Linked DNA regions of Danio rerio. The protein of the gene in region 1 purifies or fractionates together with the protein of each later gene. This does not show direct contact. Links are inferred from orthologs where the notes say so. Each region holds a gene or a part of one and is shown in the gene's direction. Other genes may lie near its edges.

Evidence for each region. Proteins that work in one complex are often made in the same cells at the same time.
Region 2: the proteins of cpsf6 (region 1) and rbbp6 purify together in Homo sapiens (affinity purification with mass spectrometry; 3 studies listed by BioGRID and IntAct, with this or other methods). This does not show direct contact. The link is inferred for Danio rerio from reciprocal best matches to the Homo sapiens genes CPSF6 and RBBP6.

The regions. Positions count from the first base shown.
Region 1 is NC_133179.1:2,380,927-2,384,586, reverse strand, and holds part of cpsf6 (cleavage and polyadenylation specificity factor subunit 6), read left to right. Parts: intron 1-221; coding exon 222-395; intron 396-993; coding exon 994-1,477; intron 1,478-3,450; coding exon 3,451-3,566; intron 3,567-3,639; coding exon 3,640-3,660. UniProt on the Homo sapiens protein: Component of the cleavage factor Im (CFIm) complex that functions as an activator of the pre-mRNA 3'-end cleavage and polyadenylation processing required for the maturation of pre-mRNA into functional mRNAs.
Region 2 is NC_133178.1:34,277,025-34,279,962, forward strand, and holds the end of rbbp6 (E3 ubiquitin-protein ligase RBBP6), read left to right. Parts: coding exon 1-233; intron 234-312; coding exon 313-1,753; 3' UTR 1,754-2,378; downstream 2,379-2,938. UniProt on the Homo sapiens protein: E3 ubiquitin-protein ligase which promotes ubiquitination of YBX1, leading to its degradation by the proteasome.

The DNA.
Region 1 (3,660 bases):
AAAAAATCCATTTAAGATAAAGTGACAATCTGCAACTTTTTATGTTTTTATCTTGTAAATGTAAATTTTATCACTGTTTTGGAGCACACTAGACTATAGATATCCTTAAAACTAACATCTAATGTTAATTTTGATTTCACGGGGACTTTAAACTTACTGAATGAGAATAGCGTTGCTGTATGTGTGCTGCAGTTTAGAAGAGTGTGTTTTGGTCCACGCAGGCACACAGTCAGGACAGATGTCAGGAGAGGGGAAGGCTGGTCCTCCAGGCTCAGGATCTCGAGGTGGAGGATTCCCTCCTGGCAAAGGTCAGAGACGCTTTCCTGGCCCACCTGGACAAGGAGACCGCTTCCCTGGACCGGTTGGACCTGGCGGTCCTCCACCACACTTCCCAGGTATAAGCTTGAACAGGAGTGAACTTTTGAATTGTCAGTATATACATCAGAACTAACAGCTATTATTATAGGTCTGCAATGGGAGGAAACAAATAGGACTGTAATTTGTTCTATCAGTTGTTGGATCTATAACAACTGATAGAGAAGATTTAATAATGCAAGTTTCTACAACATTATACAGACTTAAAGTAGAGGGTAAAAATGTACATTTTTGTTGTGGACCGGCACATATTGGAATAATGGGAAATAAAATTGGCAGATAAATTGGCAAAAAGAATCATTGAAGAAAAATCAAGTAGATGTTAAAGTACCTTTGGGAAGGAATGAAATGAGATCAGTAATTAATAAGGAAATAACAAATATTTGGCAACAATATTTGGTCTGAAAACTGATGCTCTGAGGTGAATGGGTCACTTTTCAAGTGAATCAGAAAAAGTTGATCAATTGTCCTAAATCAAGAATGGGTGATGTTTAATGTTCACCACAAAACTAGCAGTGTGAGCTCCCAAAATCATACGGTTAGTTTTGATTTCATGTGTATTTTTGTAATCCCTTCTCCTCTCTGCTTCAAAATGTAATGCATCAAATCTTCTTGCAGGTATGCAGGGCCCACCACGTCTTCCCTCTGGCCCACCTGGGCCCCTGGGACCTCCAGGCCCCCCTCCACCTGGACAAGGTCTGCCTCCTCCCCTCGGCGGACCCCCTAACAGAGGAGACCGTCCTCCTCCACCTGTCTTGTTTCCTGGTCAGTTCGGGCAACCCCCAATGGGCCCGATGCCTCCTGGGCCTCCCCCACCAGGATACGGGCCTCCCCCAGGCCCCCCTCCACCTCAGCAGGGACCACCCCCTCCAGGACCCTTCCCTCCCCGTCCACCTGGGCCCTTAGGACCCCCGCTTGGCCTCGCACCCCCACCACACATGCAGGGACCCCCACCTGGAGGCCCACCGCCGGCTCCTCACGTCAACCCGGCCTTCTTCCCACCACCTGGAAACAACATGCCATCATCTGACGGCAGAGGACCCCCACCTGGAGACCCGTACGGCCGCCCACCTCCTTATGACAGAGACTTCCCTGGTGGCAGGTAATAAACACATCGCCCACAACTACACCTATACTCTAAAAAGCCCGAAGTGTATGTGCACAGTTAAATGAACAGTCTTACTATAGTATGCTGTGATGGCATGCTCACTACAACAGATAACACTGCAAATATGCATTCAATTGTTTTTCATTGGAAGCACATTTAGATGTAATTTAATCATTTCACATTACATTTTAATATTGACAGCCATAACTTGATAACATTTTATAAATATTAAAAAATAAGTGAAGTTTCACAAACTAATTTCTAGAAGAGCACGTGATATGATCAACTAGAGCTGATCCTCATCACTGATCATTAGCTAGCCTATCAGATCATTCCAAAACTACTATGAATATCCTGCCTAAACTCCGTTCCCTGTCTTCGTTTTTGGCAAACCCCCTTCTATCCTTCCCTTCTCCTTCCTCGTTAATTATATGATAGGGCAACAGGGTGGCTCAATGGCTGGCGCTGCTGCCTCGCAGTGGGAGGGCCAAAGGTTCAAGTTCTAATTGAGCCAGTCGTTACTCTCTGCCATGAGTTTGCATGTTCACCCTGTGTTCCCGTATGTTTTCCTCGGGTACTCCGGTTTCCTCCAACAGTCTTAAAACATGTACATAAGCGAACTGTAAAGTCATAAGCACTTAACGCATACATACTGAATCAGTCAGAACCACCATATTAACCATAGTATAAAACAAACGAGAGGGCTCTCGAAGAATACCCGATCTCCTATCCAAACTAATGCTCATTGACCAAACGGGAACCTTGTGCTCTTCGATTTGAGATTCAGGTTCTCTCCTGGGACAGCATGCCAAACCTGCTATCATAGTTAAGCATTGTCTAAGTGTGAACTCCTAAATGTATTTATATATTGTTACGTGTTAATGATGTTAAATAATTAAAAGGATGATACGTAACAATCAGTGAGTCCATTGATGCTGGGTGAATAAGGAGAAGACACAAACGCTTGATAAGTGAAACAAAAAGTAAGTATTTATTAATGGATAATGTCAAACAATGAATATGAGATGGAAGATAAATGTAATTTTAAATAATTGAATTAAATAAAGAAAAATAGGAGTGTTGCCAAAACAAAGAAATAAATATAACAAAACGATCTAACTAAACCCCAACCCACTAAACTGACTGATCAAAGAAAAATGCAGAAACAAAACAGTAATCTTCAGCACGTAGCTTAACTAAACTTCATAACTCCCAAACATAATTACACATGAGGCAACGCCTCCAAAAACGAACTAATACAAAGTTATACTAAGCTGCTCGAAATACTAGAATTCTTGTAAAGTACAGACTGTTAGCCATTAGCAAAACAAGATCTCAGGTAATCCAATTCTCATAAAGATCGTTCATATTCTCACTATACATTAACCTGAGCAGCACAAGTTTAACTGATAAATCCATATCAACAAAGAGAAAACTAGAACACAGCACTCGCAAACAAACCAAGCGGAACAAACAAGTCAACAGTTTGAGAGATTGACAGGCCAAGCGCTCCTCCAGAACAGCGCAAGCGCACCGGTTTTATACTGCGCGGACCCAATCCTTATTAGCGCCGATTGAGTGACGAAGGTGAATGACAGCTCACTCGACCAATGGTAGCACACCTGAAACAGGATAGGACCACTGCGAGAGAGAGAGAGAGAGAGAGAGAGAAGAGCGCAAAGCAGAAAACAACAAAAATACCACAAAACATACGTGAAACGTAACTATTTTTTTAAACCTGTCTATCTTGCATTTGGATGGTATTTCCTTTTATTTTGGTGTCGCTTTAGTTTTTAGTTGCTGAAATGTCTGTGCCTCACTTTGATTTAACATGTGATGCAATGTGATTCAGCACTAACGACCACTGCAGCTCTTTGTGTGAATTCGATCCCTGAAGCATTACGCTTCGCTCTGACTCGTGCTTTTAGTTTGCGCGTGTTCATTAATCAGCATTTTGTGTGCTTCAGGGACATGGATGCGTCTCGCACTCCCCTGAGCGAAGCTGAGTTTGAGGAGATCATGAACCGGAACAGAGCGATTTCCAGCAGCGCTATTTCAAGGGCCGTTTCTGATGCCAGTGCAGGTGTGGAGATCATTACACCCAGCACAAATATGAGGTGTGGTGTGTTGTGAATTAACCGTTTCCGTTTCTGCAGCTGATTACGGCAGTGCTATAG
Region 2 (2,938 bases), on another chromosome or scaffold:
GAGAAGGACAAACCAGCTATTCCCTCTCTTCTAGATATCAAGCCAGAGCCTGTAAGGAAAATTAAAATCAATAGGGAAATTGGCAAGAGAATATCTAGCACTGATCGACCAGTTTTAGCTGAGGACTCCGCTCATGGCCCTGGAAAGGGCAGGCTTGATAAGTCAAGAGGAAAACTGAGGAGGAAGGTACATGCTCCGGATGGATCAGGGTCTTTACTTGTCGATTATACCAGGTGAGAAGTATTAAATAGCTTTTTTTCCCATTTAATTTGAACATTAGCTTATTTATATTTGATTATTTGTATTTTGCAGCACCAGCTCTACAGGTGGAAGCCCCATCAGAAAGCATGAGGAGAAGATTGACTTAAAGAAGACTGTTGTGAAGACCCTGGAAGAATACACCAATGACAGCTCCACCCCTGCTGAGGATGAAATTGTAATGATACAAGTGCCCCGTTCTAAGTGGGAAAAGGAGGACTATGAATCTGAGGATGATGATTCTAAGGTTCTCAACAGGACGAGCAGTGCCGATACATCTGTCGCTGCTCCTTCAGTGGAGAACTCTGCTGTGAAATTATCTGACAAGGAGTCTCCCCATTCTGACAAAGCCCAATCTACCTTGAAAGAGGCTGATGTCAAACCTGCCAAAGACTCCACCTCAGGTGATAAGGAGAAAGATACTGACAAAGACAGAGAACGAGAAAGAACCAAAGAAAAAGATCGCAGCAGCACTACAGATCGTGAGTCAACTGATAAAAAGAAACCTAGTGTACCTAATCAGGAGAGCGCACATGCACAGGAGAAAGGCAGTGACCATGGCAGTGAGCGGAGCTCCTCTTCTCAGTCTTCTAGAGACAGGCAGGCTGATAAAGCTGAACCAAACTCTAGAAAGCCAACAGGTAGGGAGACGACTACAGGCCCCACCAGTAGGAAACCAGAGCATAGAGATGATACAAAAGACCACTTGGGTACAAGATCAAAAGATGAGAAAAATCCAATCAGGAGAATACCATCATCCCCACCATCAAGGGTGAAGGACTTGCACAAAGACTCTGGGAGAAAAAATCTTGAAGCACCTCAAGAGTCACAAAGTCCAAGTAGGACTAAGAGAGCACCAATTCAAAATACCTCTGAGCCAAAACGATCAGGTCCAGAGGACCACAGAGAGAGCCAGTCTTCTAGGCATTCTGAAGTGCGTCCCAGTAAAGACAAAGAGCACAGGACTCCACATATAACTTTGACTCCTGAGCCAAGGACTGATGCGGAGAAAAGTGCTCCACATGTAGACCATATCAAAATACCGTCTGCGCGCTTGACAAGACTCTCCTCAGATTTAGCACGGGAAACCGATGAGGCTGCGTTTGTCCCTGACTACAGTGAAAGTGACAGTGAGGCCTCGGACATTGAGAGCAAAACAGAGCAGAAAGGAAGAGAGCGGGACAGCAGTGGCAGCCATAGCCCGAGCCCGTCTGGAAGCCACGGACACAGCAGCAGCCCCAGCTCTCCAGGCAGCCAGGACAGCAAAAAGAAGAAAAGGGACAAAAAGGAGAAAAAGGAAAAGAAGAAACACAAAAAGCACAAAAAACACAAAAAGCATAAGAAACATACAAGTAATGAATCTGAATCAGAACTCAAGGGACAAAAACACAAACATAAAAAAAAGAAGTCGAAAAAGAGCAAGGACAAAGACAAAGATGACAAGGAAAAAGATGAAAATGGGAGAGATGAGCATAAGACAAAACTAACTGTTTAATTCATAGGTTTAACCGTTAATTTCACTTGATCATCTTAAAAAAACTGCTTAAGTACTGTTCAACTTTCATGAGAATTTGTTAACATGTTATTTTGTTGTTGTTGACCAAGCTAGCCTCTCCCGTCAATGGAAGAGAGTTCCTACTTGAGTGACAGGTTATTTTATTTTGGGTTCTGAATTTTCATGAATATTTTGGTTCTCATTTAAAATTGTTGCAGATTCTTTTTACATCATGGTTTTGCATTAAGGCTTTTGTAGAGGAAGCACTTTAGAAATGTGAATGTGATTGCAGATTTGCAAAATTTGCAGAGTTGCAAAAGCCCTTTTGTACCTCATCTCTTGTACAATTTGAGTTGGAGAGAAACATATCATTGACAGTATGAAAATATTGTTACCAAGGTAACGAGAGAGGGGTGTCCAAACGTTTTGGAACGCTGATTTACATATTGTGTTTTTGCACTGTGAATATTTCCTCTACTCTTTCATTTTATTCTTCACCCTCACAAGAGTAATTTAAATTATCTGCTGAAATGGAATTGCATATGTTTTGAGGACAATAAATTTTTCAGCAAATATAAATTCTCATGTTGTTTTTCATGCCTTAATAAAGACTGTTTCAAATTGACTCATTCTTTTTAATATTTTTTTTAATGTAGACATTGTGATCACTCCAGTAATGCAAATTGGGAATTGTTAAGCTTACGCCAATACTTGAAATGTCAGGAATTAAGCAAATTAAGAAATAGGTTTGTTTAAAATGACTGATTTCTTTCATTTTAGCATAATTTTTAGATCTTTTTCAAGATACTAGTTCTCAAAGACCTGGCTAGGTTAATTGGGATAGTTAGTAATTAAGCAAATCATTGTATAACAATAGTTTGCTCTGTAGACAGTCAGATTTTGTTTTAATTCTAGCTGAAATAAAACTATTAAGACTGTCCAGAAGAAAAAATATATATAGGAAGTACTTTTAAAAAGTAATTGCTGTGATAAACATCCCTTGGGAAATTTTTATACAGCAAAAAATAATTCAGAGGAGGGCTAATTATTTTGATTTTAACTGTAAAAAAGTCTGTCATGTTTTATAAATTTTACAAAGAGAAATAATTTTTTTACAAGCCATCAGTTCAAGAATAAGAAATTACATATTCATGAGTTTTACTCCTATCTGTTTTCTATTAAATA